Canis lupus familiaris: one gene and its partners. The protein of the gene in region 1 purifies or fractionates together with the protein of each later gene. This does not show direct contact. Links are inferred from orthologs where the notes say so. Each region holds a gene or a part of one and is shown on either strand. Other genes may lie near its edges.

Evidence for each region.
Region 2: the proteins of RBX1 (region 1) and FBXO11 purify together in Homo sapiens (co-immunoprecipitation; 4 studies listed by BioGRID and IntAct, with this or other methods). This does not show direct contact. The link is inferred for Canis lupus familiaris from reciprocal best matches to the Homo sapiens genes RBX1 and FBXO11.
Region 3: the proteins of RBX1 (region 1) and FBXW11 purify together in Homo sapiens (affinity purification with western blotting; 4 studies listed by BioGRID, with this or other methods). This does not show direct contact. The link is inferred for Canis lupus familiaris from reciprocal best matches to the Homo sapiens genes RBX1 and FBXW11.
Region 4: the proteins of RBX1 (region 1) and BTRC purify together in Homo sapiens (affinity purification with western blotting; 5 studies listed by BioGRID and IntAct, with this or other methods). This does not show direct contact. The link is inferred for Canis lupus familiaris from reciprocal best matches to the Homo sapiens genes RBX1 and BTRC.
Region 5: the proteins of RBX1 (region 1) and FBXW2 purify together in Homo sapiens (affinity purification with western blotting; 3 studies listed by BioGRID and IntAct, with this or other methods). This does not show direct contact. The link is inferred for Canis lupus familiaris from reciprocal best matches to the Homo sapiens genes RBX1 and FBXW2.
Region 6: the proteins of RBX1 (region 1) and FBXW8 purify together in Homo sapiens (affinity purification with western blotting; 6 studies listed by BioGRID and IntAct, with this or other methods). This does not show direct contact. The link is inferred for Canis lupus familiaris from reciprocal best matches to the Homo sapiens genes RBX1 and FBXW8.
Region 7: the proteins of RBX1 (region 1) and FBXO21 purify together in Homo sapiens (affinity purification with mass spectrometry; 3 studies listed by BioGRID and IntAct, with this or other methods). This does not show direct contact. The link is inferred for Canis lupus familiaris from reciprocal best matches to the Homo sapiens genes RBX1 and FBXO21.

What each region holds. Positions count from the first base shown.
Region 1 is NC_049231.1:25,236,048-25,240,004, forward strand, and holds the start of RBX1 (E3 ubiquitin-protein ligase RBX1), read right to left. Parts: upstream 2,801-3,957; 5' UTR 2,719-2,800; coding exon 2,641-2,718; intron 732-2,640; coding exon 653-731; intron 1-652. UniProt on the Homo sapiens protein: E3 ubiquitin ligase component of multiple cullin-RING-based E3 ubiquitin-protein ligase (CRLs) complexes which mediate the ubiquitination and subsequent proteasomal degradation of target proteins, including proteins involved in cell cycle progression, signal transduction, transcription and transcription-coupled nucleotide excision repair.
Region 2 is NC_049231.1:50,897,462-50,900,961, forward strand, and holds part of FBXO11 (F-box only protein 11), read right to left. Parts: intron 3,454-3,500; coding exon 3,331-3,453; intron 3,244-3,330; coding exon 3,158-3,243; intron 2,209-3,157; coding exon 2,132-2,208; intron 2,042-2,131; coding exon 1,898-2,041; intron 1-1,897. UniProt on the Homo sapiens protein: Substrate recognition component of a SCF (SKP1-CUL1-F-box protein) E3 ubiquitin-protein ligase complex which mediates the ubiquitination and subsequent proteasomal degradation of target proteins, such as DTL/CDT2, BCL6, SNAI1 and PRDM1/BLIMP1.
Region 3 is NC_049225.1:41,241,322-41,244,821, reverse strand, and holds part of FBXW11 (F-box/WD repeat-containing protein 11), read right to left. Parts: intron 1,930-3,500; coding exon 1,819-1,929; intron 699-1,818; coding exon 620-698; intron 1-619.
Region 4 is NC_049249.1:14,339,408-14,342,907, forward strand, and holds part of BTRC (F-box/WD repeat-containing protein 1A), read left to right. Parts: coding exon 1-87; intron 88-1,728; coding exon 1,729-1,978; intron 1,979-2,506; coding exon 2,507-2,625; intron 2,626-3,500. UniProt on the Homo sapiens protein: Substrate recognition component of a SCF (SKP1-CUL1-F-box protein) E3 ubiquitin-protein ligase complex which mediates the ubiquitination and subsequent proteasomal degradation of target proteins. Recognizes and binds to phosphorylated target proteins.
Region 5 is NC_049232.1:74,240,788-74,244,287, forward strand, and holds the end of FBXW2 (F-box/WD repeat-containing protein 2), read right to left. Parts: intron 851-3,500; coding exon 562-850; 3' UTR 176-561; downstream 1-175. UniProt on the Homo sapiens protein: Substrate-recognition component of the SCF (SKP1-CUL1-F-box protein)-type E3 ubiquitin ligase complex.
Region 6 is NC_049247.1:13,931,001-13,934,500, forward strand, and holds part of FBXW8 (F-box/WD repeat-containing protein 8), read left to right. Parts: intron 1-2,796; coding exon 2,797-3,003; intron 3,004-3,500. UniProt on the Homo sapiens protein: Substrate-recognition component of the Cul7-RING(FBXW8) ubiquitin ligase complex, which mediates the ubiquitination and subsequent proteasomal degradation of target proteins.
Region 7 is NC_049247.1:14,090,847-14,094,346, reverse strand, and holds part of FBXO21 (F-box only protein 21), read left to right. Parts: intron 1-898; coding exon 899-1,020; intron 1,021-3,500. UniProt on the Homo sapiens protein: Substrate-recognition component of the SCF (SKP1-CUL1-F-box protein)-type E3 ubiquitin ligase complex.

The DNA of each region.
Region 1 (3,957 bases):
AAACCATTTCAGTACCTGGAAGAAAAAGTAACCTCAGCTGTTCCTGGTGTGATCAACATACTTGCCCCTATTACTATAAGGACACGGAGTCCACGGATAGCTATAATCAAACCCACCATATACTGGCTACTATATGGGATGGAATCTGTAGATTTAAATGAAACTTCTTTACTGCAATTAGTTGTCTATTTAGATGCTGGCACCGATGTCCTCTTAACTTAGGGGCTAACACTGAAATTCCTTACTTCTTTGGCTTCTTTTCTTTATAAATCTTGCCAAGCAAAAACTAGCTTTGGTAGAATATTTTAGCTCAAAGTTTATTTTTTTTTTTTCCTTTCACTATTTTTGCCTTTGAGTCTGGGTATGAGATGGGAAATATAGAGGAATAATCAACAGTGCCTCTGTGTCCACAACTCATTCTAAATGTGTGCTTGCCATCTTTAGACTGAGTAGATTTATTCTGAGAGATGAGTATGTCTCCAGGATATCATTAAATCTACTCTATTTCAAACATACCAACGGACTAGAGGCAGAAGACACCAAGTGTTCTGACTATGCTTTATATCTCCTTGGGAAGAAATTTGGTCACATCAGAATAGCCACAATCTCTGTAACCTTCTCAACTTCCTCCCATCCACCTCCAGTTACTTACAAAGATCCATAATGTGGTTCCTGCAGATGGCACAGTTATCAACCACAATATCCCAGGCCCAGAGAGCTACTGCATTCCACTGCAAAGAGAAAAAGGGGGAACAATGCACTCTCCTTGTAACACAGGCGTACACACACTCTAGGATTTCATGCTGCAGCTACAGTTATCATCTCTTTGGCCACAAGGACCACCAGACACAGGAGCTTGGGGATATTACCTTACTCTTATTCATTTTATCAGAGGGCAACAGCAGACTACAAGTGTGCTCACCCATTTTCCAAAAGGCTGAGTATATGAACATAAATTAATGAATCCTCTTTATTTTCTCCTACAGCTTACAATAATTTAGTCAACTGTATCAATGTAAGAAAACCGGGAATAATTTTTGAGAGCCTGTTTTAGGCTTAATAAGCACAAATTTGAATTTCTGCAAAGGTAAATATACGCTCTTCAAGGCAGCTGTGAAGGTATGAGTGGGGAGGTGAAAGCTGGGGACAGAATGAACTAAGATGATGATTGGATCATAAAATGGGTAATCGTGGGATAAGCTGGATAACTAATTATCCAGTGTCAGTACAGAGCAAGGTCATCACTTAAATCTCACAAGATTATTTCACAACAAATTCTAGAATTCACTAAAATTTTGGTTAGTTCCTTCCATCAAATAAACTGGTGTTCTAAACTTTTACAAGCTCAGGCTCCTATTTAGTTCAGATAATTCCACTTAAGAGTTCATTTAAAAGCGGTATTTAAGTAATTCAACCTTTCTGGCTTCTGCAATTATAAATATCCCCAAACTCCCTTTTCATCCACCAATTTGGTGCCACTTCCAAAACCTTCATCTCTTTCGAACGCAATTCCCCGTCTAGTTAAACTTCTTTAGCACTTTCCGACAGCTTCAACTTGAACGGGGGAAAAAAAAAAAAAAACACAACAAAACCCTATTTCTATTCTTCAATATGGCTGCTGGCTGTAACTGAGCATGCAGTGCCCACAATGAAACACCAAAAAAGCACTAGGAGGGGGGAATATTGTCAGTGTTTAGCCAGATGTTCCAGGAATAACATTTCCCCTATTTGAGTCTTCATTTTGAACAGATTTATTTTATATCATGTGAGAATCGGCACTTTCCTCCCAAACTGTTGGCAAACCACTATAAAGCAGTTCATGCAAAAAGACACGTTCCACATTTTTGCTTTCCCACAGTCACCAGGTCGTTCGCCACTAGTACTCAACCCTTCCTAAATGACACAAGGTTTGGGCTCGCATTTTCTTTTTAACAAATTCCACCATGCTTTCCCCCCCCCCCCCCCCTTTTCCTTTTTGGACAGAGGGATTCTGGAAACGAGCACAGGACTGTGGAGGCTGTGTGACAAACCAACAGACCTCTCAGAAGAGCCAAGAGTTGTTACACTGGAGACACTTTAACTCGGCGGGGGCGAGGACTAGAGAGAGGGCTGAGGGAGGCCTCGAGGAGGCGAGGACCAGGCTGGGGTCCCTCAGAGTCAGAGGGACCCCGAGCTTCGGGAAGGGGCGGGGCAAGGAGATCACCAGCCGGGCTCCTCAAAGGCCTCCACTGCGGTAGGAACTCAGGTCCCGGCTTTCGCCGCACTGCCCCCATCCTCCACCCACCGCAGCGCTCCGACTCCCCCTTCCATCCACCCCACCCACTCCTCCCCACCCCTCCACCACTCCAGTGACAGCTCAGGCGCTTGGCTCCCTCAGCCAAGTCTCAACCCCGCGCATCTCAACAAGCGCCTCTGTGATTGGCCCCTCAGACTCCTAGTGAAACCAATACTGCCATTGGTAGTGGGCCCCAGTCACGCCGATCAACTCTAAGACCCGCCCCCCAGCTTCCTTTCCTGGTACCCGGTCCCAGGAACGCCCTGAAATGAAGCCCTTTCCTCCGCGCCTCGGTCATCCTCGGGCCTGCCAGCCAGATCCGCGCCTCTCTAGCCTCTCTGAGGAAGGCGCTGGCGAGACCCAACCTTTTTCACTTCAAAGCGCTTCTTGCCCGCGCCGCTGTTGGTGCCGCTCGGGGTATCCACATCCATCGCTGCCGCCATTTTGGAAACACACGGTCCGTCGTCCGGCCACTGCGCCTGCGCACCAGCGCACGCCTCGCTCCCCCTCCCGGCCCGGCACCTCCTCTCGCACCCCGCCCCTTACTGGCGCGCGAGGGGCAGGTGGGGGCGGAGCACGTGGCCACGCCTCTTAAAGGCGCTGGCGCAGGTCCCTCCCTCCTCCTTCCTGCCGCCGGCCCCCGAGTCGGCTGGGGAAGAGGCGGTGGCCGGGGCGGGGCCGGGCGGGGCCGAGCCGACGTGCTCGAACCGGGTGGAAACGCTCGAAAGACTAGTCTCCTCCCGCGGGAAGCCCCCGGCCGCGCTCCCTCGGCTGGGGCGGCGGCTGCTTCCTCCGCCTCGGCCGCGACCTGCCGCCCCGGCCCCGCCCCGCCTTCCCCGCTGCCGCACCGCTCCAGCGCCGGCGGGTCTTCCGCAGCGTTCCGCCCGGGGAGCGGCCAGGGCGGGCGCCCCGCCTCCTGCAGCCGAAACCGGAGACCCCGCAGTGTCGCGGGTCTCGGCTCGCTTCCGAGCCAGGCCCGACGTGCAGCCTCGCTGGGAAAGCCGGGCCCAGGCGCCGTTAGGTCCCTGATTCCGATTCGGGAAATGCTCGGGATTCGACAGGGAGCCGGGAGCTCCCCGAATGTCCTCTCCAGGGCCCAGCCGCGTAGGCATTCTCCCGTCCTGCCTCAACCTGCCCACCTGGAGCCTCGGGGATGCCGCCGCCCGCCCGCCCCAAACGCCATCCGTGCTAGAATGCCCTTTGGTTAAGGCGCAGGGTTTCAGTTTCACATACTCTTAACACACCTTTCCTGTTCCTCAGTTGGCCACCTAACTGTGGGGGTCCCCTCTCCCTGATCTCCATCCTCTTCCCGCTCCTTGCGCCGTGGGCACACTGCAGTCCTACTTGACTTTGTGTGAGGCGTTTGGCCATTGATTCTTACTGGTCGTTCCCAGCCAAAGCACCTGTACTTCATGTCTGCACCCGGAACCCCTTGTGGCTCTCTAACCCTGCAGAGGTATGACTCGGCTAGATCACTCCTAAATCTCGTATTGGCTTATTTGGAATCTCGTATTTTCTCTTGAAAGAAAATTGGAGCATAATGGAGTGTATGGACTCCACTGCCAAACCGGAAGAACTGCGATTTGTTTCCTTGCCTTAGTCATAAACAGGAACAACAAATCCATGAAAACACCACCAGGGCTTACACCAGACTTGGAAAGAGAAAAATTGTGTGAGACCTT
Region 2 (3,500 bases), about 26 Mb from region 1:
ATTCAAGCCCTGATTAATCCCACTATTATTACAATAATTACTTGATAATTTACTCCAGTTTCTCTTCTATTTTTCCGTTTCCTCCAACTCTTATGTTCCTTTCTCCACTTAAAAACCATTTTCAGAATAAAGTTTAAAATTAAGTTGCTACTTAAAGCCTTTCAAAATGTTCCCCTAACCTATTCTGTTGTCTTACTATGTTACCTATGCTTCTGATTATGCTACACGTTTTTATCTCTAATGCCTTTGGTTTGTGTTATTTCCTCATCCTGGAATGTCCTGCCCTCTTTATTCCTAATGTCATTTTCTCTGGAAGATTTGTTACCCTCCATCAAATTTATTCTCTCTTCTGAGAGTACAACAATATAATGATTAAAAAGTGAGCTGAGGAATCGGACTTGAGGTCTTCAAATATGGATTCCACCACCTTCTAGGTCTGAGTAGGTAAATTATTTACCTACTTTGTCTCAGTTTCCTTATCTAAACTGGGCATGATGGCACCTACATATAGGGTTATAATGAGGATTAAATGAATTAATACATGCGACAGTACACATGTGAAAGTAATATTACTCCTATAAAACCCACTGAACTATCAGTTGTGTACTAGCATTTCTCTGCTCTCTGAAGACATGAAACTATTATTTCTGTGGACATTGAATACATCTGTGGTATTTCAGTTTTGGCCTCTAAATTGCTTTCCACTGGAAAAGACCATTTCAAAGTCCCTACCTCTAATCTGCTTCTGCTAAGATCCAGTCTGAACTCGCCTACAAAGTCTCTTAGGATTTGGGCCCCGCCCCTTCTCTAGCCTCAACTCTAAGTACCTCTGTACACCTTACTAAACCACTTTGTTTCCTGTAGACTTCTGTTTACAATGTGCCATTAGACTATAAACTTTCTGGATGTAGTTTTATTGACCATTTTTAGCATCTGTATCAGTTGGTACAGAGGTGTTCAATTAATATGTACAAATGAAAGTGTGAATTATGCCTTCTACATCTGGAATGGCCTCCCCACCCCACAATTTACCAGTGAATACTCATTTTTCAAGACATAGCTCAAGAGTGATTTTAGTCCATGAACCTTTTCTTCACACCTTACAAATAAAACCATCCACTGTATTGCATTTGTTCATTATATCCTGTAAAGACTCCTAGGAGATCTGTCACCTTACTGAATTACTAGGTTATGAGCTCTTTCAGAGTCTATGCCATTAATAGAATCATCACTGCTTGGCTGTAGTAAATTTTGAATTATTTTGTAGTAAGAACTAGCTATCCTTCCATATTAGATATGTACAGTGCTGGGTTGCTGACATTTCAGGAATGGGAATGGTGATAAATTTGCATTTGACATTCTCCCCTAATCACTATGAACAACGTGCATTTGCAAGGGGCAGGGACAGTGGAACCTTTGCCTCAATGCAAAATGAGTTGACCTTTACGTACACAAAACCAGGCACACCTTGTCTTCATTAATTCCATTCTCCAACAAACAGTTGTAAACAGGTACAAAGCAATACTTATTTACTACAGACATTTTCATTTATTTACAAGCCAATTAATTTCTATCCTAGTTCTATAACTGGACCTTGACGTTTATTATATCACTATTCTAAATAAGGTCCAGAAAAGAGAATAAACAAATTCTACCTTTAAAAAGCCTAACAACTAGCACACTCAAGATGGCTAGAAAGAGAAAAAAATTGTGTAGATCTCTTTCTGCTTTACCTCTAGGCACTAATCTTATAAACTATTTCAAGATTTGGTAAGGAAAAAGACTGAGATTCACTCAATTATAATTCATTAATTGGCAATGTCACTGATCATTAGAGATATGGAGGAAGAATAATGAAAAATTGGATTTTTTACTAATGCAAAATTAACAACAATACCTCGACCCCCATTAAATATACAGATGCCACCATCTCTTCCATCATGGATTTTATTTCTTCTTAGTGTAGGATTACTATCTGTCTTAATCCAGACTCCAGCCATTGCATTGTCAAATATTTCATTGTCTTCTATACAGCCTAGACCTACAAGTGGAAGAATTGAGGTTATGTCATTTGGAAAGTATATTTCTAAAGGCAATTAGCAATAAGAAAAGGATGAAAGATTAAACCTACCAGAATTATAAACAAGAATTCCACCATTCTGTCCTCCCCAGATTTTGTTGCGTCTAATTTTGGGGTTGCTTCCAGTCCTATAGATATAATAGAAAAAAATGCCATCTTAACTGCTTCTATTCCCATATCCCATGTTATGTGAGGTAACAGTGAAAAAATTCATATTAATTATAGTAAGAAGAACTATACAATGGAGTCTTTCCAGATGCTCTGAGAAATTTGTCAGTAAAGACACTAGTTTAATTTTGCTTAATTCTATTTCCCATAGAATACACTTAGCTATAGATTAATTACTATAGAGTCTCCTAATACATAAACTAAACTGAGGAGATTAAAAAAATAGTAGTCACTTAATCTATAAAGATTTTATTTATTCATGAGAGACACAGAGAGAGAGGCAGAGACGTAGGCAGGGGGAGAAACAGGCTCCCCTCAGGGAGCCCGATGTGGGACTCAATCCTTGAACTCCAGGATCACGCCTTGAGCCGAAAGCAGAGCTCAACCACTGAGTCATCCAGGCATCCTGATTAAGTGACTACTATTATGGTATACTTCCCTAATATATAAAATGAAGGGCTGAATTATAAGTACTACTAGTTTCTAAAACTGTTAAAATATAGGAAATAGTGTAAAAAACTATTAATTTTACAGAAATAGTGTAAAAACGGAAGCTCCCATTTACTGAGTGCCTACAACATGCCACATATAGCTCACAAGTGTTTTCATATAGCCTTCTACTTTCCAAGTATGGTGGAGTACATTGGAAACTATGACTGTTAACAGTGGATAATATAACAGTGGAAATGTGCTCTTACGGCAGGTGTATGTGCCACTGGTTGCTTGCCTCAGCTGGTTCAAAAAAACAACAACTATATTCTGACAAAGCCAAGCATGTGGTAAGAGCATGAATATATATACAAAAGGAGGAATAAAGACTGAGCATTAAATAACAAGGAAAGTTCTACATACCCCACATATTACCACCCAACTCCCTCCCAAAAGAAAGCCAAATGTGAAAACATTTACCTTATCTGAACCCCAGAATACATATGATTATAGATATCATTGTCCTCTAGCACTCCATGTCCATTGTCATAAAAATAAACACCAACCTAAAATTAAAAAAAAATGTTTTCAAGTGACAAAAAAGTGTTCATAAAACAACGTATTTCCCATATAAGAGTCCAAAATAATTTTACCTGCTTTCCACTATGTATCCTGTTTCTTCTCAGTACTGGAGTGCTGCCAGTTGTCACCCAGACCCCAGCCAGAGTATTACTATAAACTTCATTCTCTTCTATTACGCCTTGTCCTTTCTCATGCTAAATAAAAGTTACATTGATTACGATATATATCTTCTGGAAACAAG
Region 3 (3,500 bases), on another chromosome or scaffold:
AATAGTCCTAATCACAGTACTGCATGTTCTAATCAGTGCAAGAAGCAAAAAAATAGAAATAAAAGGTAAAGCTACTGAAAATAAGAACAAGTCTATCAATATTTTCAAACAACTGTCTCCTCATTAATGTAACAAAAGCAACCAGACTATTAGAAATAATGAGCCTGCCAAAGTTGCTAAAACAAGATTAACACATAAAAATAAGGTATTTTTATATGCCAAAGCAATAATCCATACAATATAGATTAAGGGGAAATTCCATCATAATACAAACATGTGCTATATTATAAAAATATAACGTAACCAGATACCCATATTAAGAAATCTCCCAAATCTACAGGAAATACTTTGTACTCTAGAGGAAACCAATCCACCTACAAATGAGGATGCCTGCTTTCACATATTAAGTTGTATTAATGCTCCTTGGGAAAGAGCTCCCTGTAATGTAAATGTCAGTTATTCTCTGCTTTTGGCTAAACAAAATGAACAAAACAGCGCATTTCTCTGAAGGCACACTGTGATGAGATACACAAGCTTTCTTGTGATACACCTAGGCAGGTCTATCTGCAGGTATCATCTTCCAGGGCAGGAACCACTCCCATTTCAACAGATTACATACCACCAATGTGCGCAAACACAAAGTGCTTGCTGGGGCTCGAGGGTCAAGAGCAGCTTGCAAGTCCCAAACTTTAATTTTCCTAGAAAATAAATGGAGATTGCGATTAGTAGAAAAGTTAACAACATTTCATATACCGTCAGGAACTTCCTTGATAGAAAAAAGTACATCTGAACTGCTATTAGAAAAGCTAATGGAGGGATCCCTGGGTGGCGCAGCGGTTTGGCGCCTGCCTTTGGCCCAGGGCGCGATCCTGAAGACCCGGGATCGAATCCCACATCGGGCTCCCGGTGCATGGAGCCTGCTTCTCCCTCTGCCTGTGTCTCTGCCTCTCTCTCTCTCTCTGTGACTATCATAAATAAATAAAAATTAAAAAAAAAAAAAAAAAAAAAAAAAAAAAGAAAAGCTAATGGAGACTGCTTATGTCGTAACAAGTCATTTAAACCATTTACACTTGATTTTGAAAAAAAAAATAAGGACCTACACATTCTCGGAATTATTGAAACTGTGAAGAAATATTTTTTAAGGGAGATGAGAAAACAACTTCAGGCTATCTAAATTCAGTTCCTGACCTGATAATCTATGTCACCAAATTCATTAATCAGAGGGCTTTCTGGAGCTGAGTAGGTGCTGCTGACAGAAGCTAGGACTCTCTGTGAAATTCCAAGGATACCTTTCTTCGAACTAAGCAAAGGAGTATAAACAGACCAACTAGTCCATTTGTGAAGTATACATAAAGTCACCTTGAAAGGTTTACAGTTGCCATTTGCTCATTTAAAAAGTCCTGAGGCTTTTTTAAAAAAGAGTGTTTAACCAAAGGGTAAAGGAAATGGACCACTGAACACACACACACACACACACACACACGCACGCACACACAGCTAACTTAATTTAGGACTGAGGCAAAGAATGGAATTCCTGTACAACCTAAGCTACTTACAAAGTTTACAATAATGGTTACACTAATGGTTAAAAGTGTAAGCATAGGAGTTACAGAAGCTATCCTACTGTAAGACTTGGGGCAAGACCACTCATCCTTCTGGGCCTGAGCGGCTTCACCTGATCAAGTGGTATAATAACATCTGCCATCCATTACACAGATCTAGCACAGAATTGGCACATACATAGTTGCTTAATATACAGCGCTTGTTTTTCCTCTAGATACAGTGATAGTAGTGTATTTAAAAATTTGAAATACATACCCATCATAGGCCCCACTGACAATCCTCTTGTTATCAAACCGGATGCATCGGACCAATTCTTCATGTCCCTCTAGGACTCTTAAACAGGCACCACATTCAATATCCCATAGCCTTGAAAGTAAAACAGATCTCTGTGAAACAACTTCCCACACATGATTCACACTATCCTTGAGTTCTTCATGTCTGTCCCATTCATGATTTTCACTCTCCTGAACTTGTTTCTATCTTCACTCCCAGTCCACATTATACACGTAGAAAGATACATATGTATATTTAGATCATTTGTATATTTTAAAGCACTAATTTGGCGGACACAGGGCTAGCTGAGTCAGAAGAGCATGTGACTCTTGATCTCAGGGTCATGAGTTCGAGCCCCATGTTAGGTGTAGAGAATACTTAAATAAATAAAAACATTTTTTTTTTTTTAAAGAGACTAAATTGGGTAGAAGCCTTCTCATTATATTTCCTTTTATTCAGTTTTTTAATCACATGCATGTATTACTATTCTTTTAATTTTTATTCGGCATTCTTTTAATGTCTGAATTGATGAAACCACGTAGCTAAATGGTATAACAAGGACTTTCCTGGGGGAGACAGGGATTGCAGGCAGTAAAGAGAAAGAAAAGGCATGTGTGTGGGTTGAGGAGAGGATATAGTATGTACAGCCAGGGGTGTTAGGCTTCCAGGCCAGGCACTTCTGGCCTGGAATCCATGAGGCCTGCTAAAGTTAGAACCAGTACACGAGGGGCACCTGGGTGGCTCAGTGGTTGAGCATCTGCCTTTGGCTCAGGTCATGATCCTGGGGTCCTGCGATCAAGTCCCACATCGGGCTCCCCATGGGGAGCCACCTTCTCCCTCTGCCTATGTCTCTGCCTCTCTGTGTCCCTCATGAATAAATAAATAAAATCTTTAAAAAAAAAAGAACCAGTTCATGAGCATGGAGGTTTCCCTCTCCTGATGAGGCTTAGGGACACCCCCTCTTAGATGATACTGCATATTAGGGTTGTCCAGTTTATGAGGTCATAGTGGGAGCCTCTTATTAGGTATATGAAGCATCTCAGAAATATAAACCCACACAATATCCAGACTTTTTCTTGGTGTATGATTTATATGTGAAACTGAAATTTTCACATTTTTCTATCATTGGTTTTCCTACATTGTTTGCAAAAAGAAATCATAAGCACGTACAAAACAAAGTTAGCAAACTAATTCTGTAACAACCTTTTCTTAGCCTCTCTACAAGTAGCTCTTACCATCCGCCCCATGAATATTTTATGACAGCCACCCTCAGCAAATCTTCTCATCAGTGTCAGGGACACTGGCTTCTCTAATCTACTGTGAACAGTGTCATTTAGCACTACCACTGACTCCAAAGTGGTCCCCTCTATAAACTGTAAAGGAATACACATTATCACTTTGTAAAACCTCAGAGAGTCCAGTGAGAAAGTTAAGGACTGTCTACTGCTGAAATAGTTAAGTAATAGAAAGCATCAAGACTCAGGTTCTCATGGTACTTTCATAATACCTTAAAAACTTAAAACGATAAAACTCACAGCAGTTTCGGCTCTATCATTGTGGTTTCATTCCCTCCTTCCTTCTTTTTTTTTTAAACCAATCTTTATTTTGCCCAAACATTAAACAATTTGGTTAGAAAAAAAGCCAGGACAATGGAAAAATGACTA
Region 4 (3,500 bases), on another chromosome or scaffold:
AATTCTCACAGGCCACACGGGTTCTGTCCTGTGTCTCCAGTATGATGAGAGGGTGATCATAACGGGATCATCGGATTCTACGGTCAGGTAGAAAATTTCAAATGATCTTTTGAACTCTGGAATACCATATCTCCTCTGTTTTTTGTCATAGAAAGTTAGTAATTTTGTGTATAGCTGCCTGAACACAGTTCTGAAACTTCATAACTTAAGAAGAATAAACCATCAGCTCTCCACATCATTGTCCACCTAGAACTAGAAAACTTGATTTAGGAATGATTAAGGCAAGTTTACATTTTTTTCCCATTGAAGAAACTACATATTCTATTTTAATTTGGGGGAATCATCCATTATAGAAACTTGGTAAACCTTGCATTTGTTAGAAAAACCACCTCACAGGGAAATGATGTGAATGGAATAAAGCTTCCTTTTAGGTGGTTATAACTGTGGTATAGGCATGCATTATCTCCTTTGAAATGTGTACAGGTGAGCACTGCGCTCTCTTTGCCAGCACCTCCCATGTTATCCCTGCAGTTTTTAATTGCAAGCTTTATTCAGGGAGGGGCCCTCAATTTCCAGAGGCGTTAGTGACTTGATGACGCAGCCATTATGCTGCTGGAGTCCAGTGTAGCTTGAGTTCTGGGTACCAGCAGCACTGCTGGAACCCTCTGTTAGGAGTTTTGCCTTAAGCCAAAGGATTTAGCAAACATAATGCATCAAAAGTAACTTAAAAAAAAGAAAAAAGAAAAAAAGGCAGTTAACTGCATTGTTAGATTCTCTGAAGTTAAATGTTTACCATTCAAAATTATCCTCTGTGAATAGGAAAGGCTGCTCCTGTTTCTTATCTTTTGACTTAAAGGCATAGCAAACTCAGTTCTTAGAGTTATCGACATTTAACATTTATTGATGCTGTGGAGTGCCTCAAGGAAGCCAAAACATTGTAGAGACTAACATCATTTATAGGGTAAGGGACAAAATTATTTTCTAAAAATGGGGTTAAATTGAAAAAGGAAATGTGTTATGAAATCAAAGTAAAAATACAAAAATAGAGTAATCAAAGTAAAATATATCATTACACAAAATTCTCAAGCTATCCAAAGGTCCCACACTCTGCTGCTGGAAGCCCCCATTTACAATGGGATGGCTATTCTTGATCTTTACCCCCATTCAAGGCACAGAAATGGGGCCTTAGATTTAGAGTATAGCTCATCTTGGCGCTGACCTGTATGGTGAGACTGAAAACCCAGCATTATTAAGCTCGAATCCACAGTACTACGTCAGTCTGTTACAGAAGCTTCTTGGCCTATGTCAGTTCTATTTCCTGAGGGCTATTGATGGGACACTAATGCTACTGCTATTACTCAGATTCCTATTTTAAAATGTATCTCATTAAAGATAGCAGATTGAATGTCAAGTTTTATAATAACCTTGAAATCTGGGCCCAACTTATAGGTGATGGTGGTTACATCCTCATTCATAACCCTCATAACTCACACTCAGTAGTGTGTCTGAAGAATTTCACATTGGCAACATCCTATCCCTTCCTTTTCCTACTCTCCTAGTCCAGCCCTCTATCTATCAGTTCCGCATTGGCCATCAAAACTCTTCACCTCAGCTCAGCCTTAAAGTACACTCTGCTCTCTGGAAGGGTAGGGAATGTGGTGGTCAAATAGATTATAGCCAGGAACACCATCGAAACCTCAGATAACCTTCTAAATGTCTTTGTTCCAGGGTGTGGGATGTAAATACAGGTGAAATGCTAAACACGCTAATTCACCATTGTGAAGCAGTTCTGCACTTACGTTTCAATAATGGCATGATGGTGACCTGCTCTAAAGACCGTTCCATTGCTGTATGGGATATGGCCTCCCCAACTGACATTACCCTCCGGAGGGTACTAGTTGGACATCGAGCTGCTGTCAATGTTGTAGACTTTGATGACAAGTACATCGTTTCTGCATCTGGAGATAGGACTATAAAGGTAATGAGGCATTTTTCAGTAAGTCCCCAACTTAGAGTAAGGGAGTTCATGTAAAAATCTGGTCCAAAAAAAAAAAATCTGGTCCAAGGAAATTTCATATTAAATGTCAGTGTAGAGTAATTTAATATTTAATTCAGATACTAGTCTATGTGTAAAAAGGCAACAAGTGAGACAAGCTGTGTGAAAATTTTGGTTGGTGTCTATTCCTATAAATAATGGTGAGTTTAGAAGGGCAGGGGTAAATTTAGCTTTAAGAAAATTTGTCTGCCAACCAGACTAACCCCCTAAGAGTAAATTAATTTGAGGAATTCTCATGTGATAGCAGCCAGGTACAAATTAGCCCTATGTTATTGTGAATTAAACTTGTCCTTTTTTTCTTTTCTCTTTTTGATTTGGTTTGGTTTGGTTTGAGAAGTTGACTTACTGCTGTTGGCTCAGTGCTGTTTTCTGCTTCTCCAAGACTCCAGTTGCCATAGATCTTACTAGTAAAAGCATCAAATCTACTGCCAAATGCAATTTCTCTTTTAGGTATGGAACACAAGTACTTGTGAATTTGTAAGGACCTTAAATGGACACAAACGTGGCATTGCCTGTTTGCAGTACAGAGACAGACTGGTTGTGAGTGGCTCATCTGACAATACTATCAGGTGAGCAGCAAGTGCCTTTACCCAGAAGGGATCACTTTTACCCTGCCATTCATTGTTAGAGAGAGGAAACAAATTTTCAAGTGTATGATATTTATAACGTTTTTCTTTTCTTTTTTAAAGATTTTTATTTTCAAGTAATCTCTACCCCAGCATGGGACTCCAATTTAAAACTGTGAGATCAAGAGTCAAACACTAGCTGGGCATCCCAGGTGTTTTTCCTTTCTGTAGCTTCTTCTAGGTTAAAAGTTTGCCACAAAAAAATAAAGTTTGCCCCAAGCAGAAAGATAGCACAGCAAAGCCTTTTGTTGATGGGTTTCCTTTCTATAATAGTTTTATTACCTGTTTTAAAGGTAACGAGGAAGTGGACAAGAGTGATAAGTAGATGGAGGTTGAAGGCCTTCCTCTTTAAATTCCTCCTGTGTACAGTTAAAAAGTGCTAATAACTAGCCAAAGGCCTTTTCTCTCCACCAATATTCTTAAAAAAAGAAAGAAAGAAAAAAGATTTGTTTCCCTACTAGAAATTGTACACTGTTTTCTTCACATTACATAATTATCCAGGGAGTTTCTAGCCTTTGAAATTATGAAGAATCCACAGATTGAAGTACTTTTTGGTGTTTTCCCTTCACAAAGATGAATGAGAGATATGAATAGAATTTGGAAGATTTATCAATCCTTTCCCTTCCTTCAAAAAGTACTAAGAAGATAAAAAGGCTCCTTTAGAAAACAACAGAGCTACTGTTAGGTCTAAGGAAATTTTCATTTCATTTGGATTGGTCCAAAAGCATATAGTTTTAAGATTTTATTTTTTTAAAGTAATTTCTATACCCAACATGGGGCTCAAACTCAAGCCTGAGATTAATCAAGAGTTGTACGTT
Region 5 (3,500 bases), on another chromosome or scaffold:
GAACTTGCTTTGTCCTGGAAGACAGACCTTCTTTAGAACTGGTATTTGGTGGAGAGTTTATGAATGTCACGGGACTCAGTGGTCTTTGTAACACTGACTGTTATAAAAGCTAAGCCCCATGTGAGAGAAGTTGCTGGAACATCATAGCACCTTTGCTTCAACTTCAAAAGAAAAAAAGGCGATGGTAAAAGCTTTAATAATAGACTGATGTGTTTTTATATATAGGCAACCAATTAGCAGGTTAATGAACCATTTAACTTTCTTTACTGAAAACCAATATTCAAGAAAGATGAACCCTCAATGCACCCTCTTATACTGACCAACGTAACTAAGTACAAATGAAGTCAATGGTGTACCCCGTTAGCATGCTGTGCTGTGTGTCAAGAAAACAAGCCCTCCCCCGCCCCGAGCCCTGGCCCCCTGGCAAACACAGATAAATGATTGTGCACTGCGCGACGATACCGTTAGGTGAGAGCTTTGGTTCATGCAGTCGGCTGCCAGAGGTCGCACTGAAACCCCGCAGCCCCGGCACCCACAGTCGGCGGCGGCCAGCGCGTGGCGTCAGCCGTGCTCCTTCCACAACACCAGATGAATACTGTGGTCGGGCATGCTGGTGGCGAAGACCAGGCCCGTGTCATTGTGCCCATCCAGTCCATTGAGCCAGGACGCTTCGCCCGCCAGGAAGCTCGAGCCTCTCTTTGATTTCCGGTACTCTGGCAGGGGCCAGCGGCTAATCAGGCTCTCGGTCCGCAAGTCCATGATGTACAGGTAGCGGTTGTCAAACAGCAGGGCAAAGATATCTCCAAAGCCAAGCAAGGCCAAGTTTGCTATCTCAGGAGTCTTGATGACCCTACAAAGACGAGAGTTTCGAAACATGAACCAGAAGGCCGCCTTACTTCTGATTCCACTACCGCAATCTTTTCTGGAGACATATAAAAACCAATACAAAATCCAAGACAATGAAAGTTTTCAATAAAATGAAACAGACAAAAAGCTGTACTTCCTTAAGGGGAGGGGAAGGAACCCTTCACATTGACATGGTAACACAGGCACGTAAGGAGAAAGGCAGCATATGATGGACATTTATGAAAGCACAAAATGCCTACCCGGGCTGAAAAGGATCTTATAGATTATCTCATGTAATATCTCATTTCCAAAATATGAAAACAAAAGCCTTGCTGGGATACATACTTTGGCTAAGGATTCACGACTGGTCAGTTACCTGTAAGAACTGGGATGCAATCACTTTACTACTAGGTAAAAAGATGGATTCATCAAATCCTAAAATGCTGGTCTAGGGGAGCCTCCTCAAGCCCAGAATGAAGACTAGAAACCAAGTGATTTACATGCTATTCTATTCAGCAGGTAGCAAACTCTAAAAACAGTAGAGGCTGAAGGATGAGAAATAACCAGAAAATAACCCAGAAACAATAATAAATGTGTCAGAAGTTGTGAGAGAAAACTGGGGGCGTGGGAGGATAGCCTTCACCTTCCCCAAAGGCTGATGACAAAAGCACAGAATGGGAGAGATCCAGCCAAACAGCATAGATAAAAAACAAAAACAAAAAAACACAGTCTGTTGTCTGCACACTTAATGAGGCAAGAACAGTTGATGTCCTCTTTGGAGGCACTAGGAAAAGAGCTACAAGAGAAGGATAAACCAATTCTGCTCCGTGACAGTATGTCTGAGCCCTGTGAGAGGTCAATAAACCCACATTTCAACAAGGACACTACCAATTAGTGTGTGTCCAAGAGGTCAACCAGGAAGGGCAGGGCCTGGTAACCAGGACAAATAAGGAACAGGTAAAGGAGATCAGCTGGGGGCGGGGAATCCGAGGTGAAAGAGTTACAGCAAGCCAGATTCCACCTGACAGTGGAAGGCAGAGGATTTAGTCCTGAAGACCTGTTCCACACTCAACCCGTCCTTAACTGAACTTGCTGGCCAAACCTGTTTCTCTTCCTTGTTTCCTGGCTTGCTCTTTCACCCAACTGCTCACCGTTAGGAAACATGGCAACCATCCAACTCTCCTCCTTAATCAAGCCGCAGATTCAATCACCACAATCTATTGATTTTACCTCTTGAATTTTCTCCTACTTTTTTTTTACTATTATCCAAATTGCCACGGCTCTGATCCAAGATAGTATCTTCAGCCTGCACTGGTCTCCCCCCACCTACTCTTGGCCCCTTTCAATCAGCTAATCTCACCCCCATGTCTAATCCTATTACCACCTCATTTAACTTTAAACCCTCTGAGGGCTCTCTACTGCACTTCACATCTCCAGCACTGGGACCCTTCAGTCTCCGGGCCTTTGAACGGACTGGTCTCTCAGCCTCCACTGCTCCTTACTGCACACCCACTGCTGGCATTTAGTTAATGCAGATACTCCTCCTTCAGGGCTTAGCCCACACCTCTTCTTCAAGGAAGCTTTTCCTTACTCCTCAACTGCTAGGTGGGGTCTCCAAATGCTCCACAGTGTGGCCTTTAACCCACCCATGAAAACAACTGTAGGCAATTAGCTATTTAACGTCAGTCTTGCCTCTTGCTGGTTAGTAACTTCCACCAGTGTGGTATTTCTGCAGGTTACCAGCATAGATCCCAGTGCCTAAAACACAGGTATGCCCCATAACTACCTGCTCACAAATACAGCAGTGGAGCAATGAACATGGGAAAATAAGAACTCCTACAAAGCACATCCAAAGGAAACTGGGAAAACAACAAGAAAGTCCGGTAAGTCCCATATCACCAATGCAAGCAGGAAATAACCAGAAACTTAGATAACTGGGTGGCTGGAAATAGGACTAAAGCCTGGTGAAGATGAGTCGACTCCAAAGACTGAAGCACAAATATGTTTTGGAGGAGAATACAAGTCTTGACAGGCTGGCCTGGCCGCCTCTTTAACTTTGATTACTTTAAAACTGTAAACAGACATCCCTGCTGTGCAGTCTGGGCCCTTGAACCTAAATAACCTTGCCTGCTTGCTGTACGAAGATAACTCAGCTCAAGAGATTGCATCATACCTTAGATTTATTGAGCAACATGCTACCATCTGTGCTTTGCTTCTTTTTAGTTAGCTTCAAAGCATAAGTAGCCCTATCTGATCTTAGCAACAGAGCCCAAAGGAGTTGCATTAGGATTTCAAAAGAGGCTTTTGTGCTGCGGGAGGTGGGGAGGAGGAAAGATAAAACAGCCCCCTTTCCAAGAGAAATCTGAACCTAACACTTCCTAGCAGAAAACAATCATGTAGATTTACTGCTCAAAGCTAGTGTATCCGAATCCCAAAAATTAACACAACTTTCATCTGGACTTCTGGACTCCCTATACACACACTCAGGGTGAGAAAAATACATGAGAAAGGTAGATGCAGCATCACATTAAAACTTTTGGAAACTCAAAGTATTAAAAAGATGATGATACCTCTATTCCACCTTACTTCTGCATCCCTCCCATCCAAGTCTTAATTAAAAACAGAAACAATACTAAATTGTAAAAGGTCTGATT
Region 6 (3,500 bases), on another chromosome or scaffold:
ATAGAGGCTTAGAGCCAATCTGAGGCTTTGCCCAGATCTCAAAGCTAGGAAGTTGTGCTTCAAGCCTCAGGGCTGACTTTAAGGCTAAGGTTTCTCATCTGGGTCTGAAGCTGTGGTCCTCAGCTTTCTTCACATTCACCCCTGGAAATCTGAGCTTGGTTTCTGGCCTATTATAGAAGTGAAAATGAATTCAGTGGTATCATCCCAGTCCATATGGGAAGGAAGATTTCCATCCTGCACTTTCTTCCGCCTAAGATTTTCTCACCTGGAATTAAAAGTAACTCCTGAGTGAAAATAAATTTAAGTCAGTGTTAATTGGATAGCCGCGTTCCAGGGTGTCCTGTGTGAGACTCAGCCAACCTTAAGACCTCTTCACATAGATCCTATCTCCAAGTATAGTTGTACTTGAGCCTCCATGTTTATATGGCAGGAGATGATTTTGTGGTAAGAAGAAAGAGCTCAAATCTGTGCTAAATTTAGATTTAATTTAAACACTTGATTTTGGCAGTACTGGAGGAGTGAACAGAAAAGCCGGTATTGAATGATGAATTGGTGGTCTAACCCAGAACAGATCTTGTTCTCCTCCCTTTCTCACCCTGCTAGAAATCTTGTTAGGCTTGAGTAACTAAAAAGCCATGGTGTCACCACTTCACCCCAATAAGCTTCTCGTCCCTTAAAGACCAATTTCTACAGTTTGGGTGGTGGTTTCCCCAAACAGCCTGATGCTCCTTTTGGAGTTTTATTAGAAAAATGTGGAAGTACTATCTTTCTGTTTGTTCTTAAAACTACCATAGTGTTTATTATTTGGTCTCTACCTAAAGAACATTCTACACTAGCAATAATTATATGAATTCAGACAATTATTTAAGATGTGAGTTCCTCTATACAGGGTAAATCCTGCCTTGGCAATAAGGTGGTGTTCTGGCATAGACTAGAAGCTTTTTGAAGTAGTTTATAGCTCTTGGCGAATGGCACAACCACAGCCGATATGAGCCTCTTGGTCTGTCAATACTCCAACAGTAAAGTGAAATTAAATGGCTAGACTGAGGATGTTGATTTTAGGAAAATAAGAAATGAGTTTTAGAATACGAGAGAGAGGAAGGAAGCAGACACTGCTGGAGGCATGTGTTACTATACTTCTTATGTGTTATTTCTCCTCCTGGGTTAGGGGTTGCCATAGAATATGCTGTCACTGAAAAAGGCACCTCTTGGCCCATTAGTGCTGGGCCATTTTTGTCTTCCCCAGATAGGCTCCCTGAATCACAGTGGCGGTGTTCCCCAGTTTGTACTACTGGCTGAGAACGTCTGTCCTTTGTGATGAGTTCTTGGCTGGGGATGTGGGGCCGTGCTCACTCTTGGGCCGGAGGATTAGCATAGTCACCCGGATGTTTACGCTCTCCCAAGCTCCTTTGGACAGTCCTCAGGATTCAGGCTTTTGAACTCATTTGGCTTATTGTCAGGGCAGTGCTGTCCTTTTACACAGTGGTTTTCATAATTACACAGCATGGCACACCTTCTGCTTTTGTGCTCTCAGATTTTACTCGAGGTGAAAACCTGGTGTAAACTGTGCTCAGGAAAAATGTGCCACTTCGGGACATAGACAAGCAAATTATTCCTAAAGGGAACGCCTCATTCCCCTGCAGTTTAGAGAAAGTGTTGCAATAATGCAGTCAGGAGTACTGAAGTGGCATAAAAGTACTGGTGGCAGCCTTTCTACCCTCGATGACATTGAAGCCAGCAGAGGACATGTAACTCAGGTACTTTTAGTCTTTTAGCAACACAAATATCATTTTTGGTATTTGCACAAATGTTAAAATGTGAAGTGTGCTAATTTGGAACGGAGTGGATTTCATTCAATTTCTTGTAAAAAAAAAAAACTTAAAATTTTTTGAATAGTTATACCCTCATGGTTCAGAATTTAAAAGATATAGAAAGGTTTACAGGGAGAAATCTGTCTTCCACTCCATCAAAAAACTCTGTGCCCTTTTCAAAGGCAGCCGTTGTTAGCAGATTTATAGTTGCATAAGCCACATATATGTCTCATGGTACCTCTGGTCCCCCTGGCCCCCCTTCACACACATTAGCACACTGTGAATCATATCACTTTGCTTCCTTGCCTCCCGCACCCCCAAATTTATCTTGGAGATGATTCCATTTGTATCAGTTTATAAAGAATGCTTCATGCTTGTTTTCTGTGGCTGCATAGTATTCCAATAGATACACTGTTAATTAGTCTCTTAATAAGGCATGTTTAGGCTTTCCCAGTTTTAGTTAAGACAACATAGTGCCACAGTAAGTAACCATGTACACAGTTGTTTTGCATATGTGTGAATTTATCTGTAAATAAATTCCTAGGGCTGACTTGCTGGTTCAGAGCGCATATGCCTTTGACATTGTGGTAAGTTTTGCCAGTGTCTCTCTAGAGAGGCTGGACCAGTTTACATCCCACCAACCATAAGTGGGATCCACAAATGTGGTTGTCCCTTCCTCTAGTTCTAGATCAGTGTCCTAGCAGGCTAATTGATCTTTGCTGATATGACTGGTGAAAATGGTATTGCTGAATTTTTATTTCACATTCCTCTTTTTAGGAATATATCATGTTTCTTTTACAAAGAGCAACTTTTTTGTTAGTGTGAGAACTATGTTCTCATTTCCTGTGAACTGTGACCCTTTGCCTGTCTTTTTCTGTTAGGGTTGCTGGCCTTATTGATGTGTAGGAGAAATTGTATTTTTTACCAAGTCAGGAGGAACTATAGGTGAGATCTGATGGGCTACATAACTCTTATCCTTTCACAGGTTGACTACCTTGAAATAGTACCAGATACTGGAAGGTACCCTGTGGCAGTGGCCACGGCTGGAGATCTGGTATACCTGCTAAAGGCTGAAGACTCTGCCAGAACCCTCCATTATGTGTACGGCCAGCCAGTCACATGTCTGGATGTCTCAGCCAACCAGGCTGCTTTTGGTGTGAAGAGTCTAGGATGGGTATACGAAGGAAACAAGGTACAAAAATAGTAAGATGTATAAGTAACAAAAAAAGAACATTGATTTTTATTTTTTATAAGGCAATTAAAAAATTAAATCTCTCTGTTTATATTTTATAAGGTGTATTCAGGCACTATATATTCAGCATGGTGAAAAAGAGGAATCTCAAGCACTTCTAAAGGATATAAAATGAAAAGTAACTGTTTCCTTTCTCCTGCCTTCCCCCAGCCTCCCTCCACAGAAGAAACTATTAAACATTTTTTAGGTGTCCATCTAGAAAAATTTAACGCATTTATAGGTACATTTATACACTAAAAACTTATCTTTGTAGAAATGAGATCATAGTATACATACTGTCCTGTACTCAACATTTTTATTCAGTAATCTACCTTGGAGAGCATTCCCTGTCAGCACATACCATGCTCCTTCTCACTGGGATTCCGGTGTATGCTTACGACCCATAGTCTGTTTATTCAGCCCCCTTGCTGGTAGGCAGTTAGGTCGCTTTCACTATT
Region 7 (3,500 bases), on another chromosome or scaffold:
GGGGCAGAGGATTTTTGTGCTGTGACTCAACCACGTTAACTGAAGCACCCTGGCTACGGTGTGGAGGAGAGACTATAGAAGCTTCCAGCGTTGGAAGCTGGAAGCTCATTTAGTATGCTGTTATAATATAGACAAAAGATGGTGGCAGCTTAAATGAGTTAGTGAGAAGTGTTCACATGTCCAGTGGACTCTGAAGATAGAACGAGTAGCACTGGTGGACGGAGTGAGTGTGGCCTCTGAGAGCAAGCCAGCAAGGAGGCAAGAACGCCAAGGCTTTCGGCCTGATGGCAGTGGCAGAGTTGCCTTTCCCTGAGGGGGATGACTGGGAGGGGAAGCCCTCCTAAGGAATTCACCAGATAGCCAAGTTGGAGTGTGGAGTAGCAGTTGGATATACAGGTTTGGAGTTTAGAGGAGCAATGAGTACTGGAAAATAAATTGAGGGCTGTCAGTGGAGAGAATATTTGAAATCATGAGACGGGATGAGATCACCATGGCAGTGAGCGTAGAAGGAGAAAAGCAGGAGGCCAAGGCCTGAGTTTCCTAAAGCAGGTGCCCACGGGCCAGCAAAGGATTCCAGACACTTCACCTCTGGTTTCTGAGCTTCAGCCAGCTACCCCAGCTCTTCAGTTTTCTCTTGGATTTCTTTTTAGTAAATCTGAAGCCAAACAGGTCAGTGTTCCTTGGATTTCAGCACGAATGACTTACTGTTACTTATAAATGCAAAGTCTTGAATTGTGCTGTCTGCTTCTGGGATAAAAAGTACTATGTGGACGCGAACGACTTACATTTTTCTTGTTAAGTAGGCTCTTTGCATCCTAGGAGTAGCTCAAAGTAAAAAATAAGGTAGTCAAAGGCTTTAGTATCTTAATGCTCATTGATGTGTTTGTTTGTTTTCCAGAAAAGCTTTGACCTGGAAATACTATGCTAAAAAAATTCTTTACTACCTACGCCAACAGAAAATTTTAAATAACCTTAAGGCATTTCTTCAGCAGCCTGATGACTATGAATCGTATCTTGAAGGTGAGACTCTACAAGTGATCTTTCGACAGGCAGCTAAGTTGTTCCTCAGAGGAGGGAGATCATCCCTGAAGGTGGAACAGTGGAAAAGTGGGTTTCTGATCATTTAGGCAGGCAAAACTGTTAAACTTTAGAGCTAAGATTTTGCCAGAATGTTTGGCTGTCAGCTGAAGAGATAGTGTTTTGGAAGGATGCACCATTGGTTCAAAGCACAAGGTTAGTAAGTTAGCTAATGAGGTTGAATTCTCTTTTTCCAAGCTTTGAAGCGTCATTTCCAAGTCAAATAAATTTGTCCAGTTTTGTCTCCGTGTGACCTTCAGCAAATCCCTTTACCTCTCCTGGTCGGAGTTTAATGAGGCCGAGGTGTTCTTGCATGTTAGTAAGTTGGCTTGTTCATAATGAGAAGTGAGAAAGAAGTCGAGTGGACAGAAATGAGGGGAATAACTTTGTTCCTGCTAAGTCAGACAAAAACAAATGTGACTTCATTTTTTTAAACGAATTTAAATTCCTAGCATATTACATAAGCACTGCCATAAATTGTGGTTGTGAAGTACGGCTATGACCATTCCTTCATTTTCATTCCCTGGCCCCTCTGACTTACCAGTTCATCAGTTTTCTTCCTTTCCAGTGTTTGCATGTCCCCATTCTGTTTCTGTGGTCAGGCAGGTTGTCACCCCTACTTCCGGCAGCCACTTTCGAAGTGGCACTTCAATCTCAGCCTCAGGGCTGCTGACACCTAGCATCAGTTCAGCCTGAAACTTGGCCTTTTCACCACTCTGGCCAACTAATGTCCTGGGTTTTTTTGTTTTTTTTTGTTTTTTGTTTTTTAATTAACCTGCTGTTCAGTGCCTTGCATAATCTGGACTTTCCCTGAACCCCAGACCTTTCCCCATTACTCTCTAAAACACCCTCTTTGCTCCAGCCAGGTCATTATCTTCCCTCCTGGCTTCATATCTTCAATAGTGGTATCCCCGTTTTCTTAGAATTCCCTCTTAAATCTTACTTGGCCATGAAAGTTCGGTTCAAATTTAACTTCCATTGGGTTTTTGCTGACTACTGCAACACTTGCAGGTTTTAACTCACCTCAGAAGGCATACATGCAATAGCATTGACTAGTAAACCACTGTATAGTGTCCCGTTTCAGGTGTGTGCATTTTGTTCTCCAGCATTAACATTTAACATTTCTTGTGTCCCTTGTCCCTACATTATTATGATCACTGTGTTCTCCACAGTGTCTGGTGTAGACTCTTCTTGAGTGTGTAAAAGTGTCCTCATCCAAAAAGAAGTGAAAACTCTGTTTCAGTTGATCAAAATCAAACAGCCTCACCACCCTGGTGGGATATTCTATGGGTACTGGAGTGGAGAGTCAGCCTATCTTCTGTTCAATAATTTGACAGGCTTCGTTTTCTGTAGTTTATTTATGAAGACAATCATTTCTTTTTCACATTCCAAATATTAAGTAATAATATGGTTTTCAATAACTCCTGCAAATCAGTGTTGTGGGCACTGGGTAGCCATTGGAAGTTTTTAAGTAGTTGAGCAAGTGGAAGTCAGCTCTAGGGTTTTGATCCTTGGTGACTGACAAGAATAATCTAATAGCATTAACAAAGTCTAGGAATCAGAGCATTAGGATGGAATGCACTTTGGGGAAGTCCTTCAGCCAACAAATGAGGAAACTCCATCCCAGGAAAGCGTAGGAGCCATTCCCTAGCTAGGGGTAAAACTGAGGCTGGGGTCTAGTCTAAATCCCTTGATGCCTGCTTCCAACTCCTTGCAGTGTGAGTAGGGAGTCAAGATCCTGACCTCTTGAATTTAAAATGACTCAAAAAAAAAAAAAAAAAAAAAGTCATATACAGCTTCCCAAGTGAAAATGTCTTCTAACCAAATGACCAAGTTAGCCCTTTGGCATTTGGTTAGAAAACGGCCTAAGACAGTAAAGAGCTGAGCAGGAGTTTTCCAGAGACCCTGTCTCCAATGTACCTTGTACACGTCTTTGCTGCTGGTTCCCTGAGTGTCACTGTTTCTCTAATTCAAAAGTACAATTATCTCCAGAGTTCACTTACTTGTTAACCCTTGATGGGTATAATTTGTAGAAATCTCTCATTGAGGGCGTTCAGTCTTTTTTTTTTTTTTTTTTTTTTAAGTAAAGGAACTGTCTTAGCCATTATGTTTTCAGTTATTGGAAAGATGTCCTTTATGGCATTTATTTCTCTTTGTAATAGAATAGGGAACATGCTGGTTTTTTTGAGTCCATGACCTTTGAGATAGGGTTTGGTTTATTTAAAAAAAAAAAAAAAAAAAGTTTGTAAACTTGTTTGTGATTAGAGTGTTGCTCTTCTCTGTGTAATAGCAGCAATATCTGCCATCCACGAATGAATTTTATCTGGTAGGATGGTACAAAGAACTTTAGCCCCAGATGCCCGGGCTAAGTGACAAACTGATAAGAAAAGAGTAAAAATAGGAACTTTTTCAATAATTCCTAT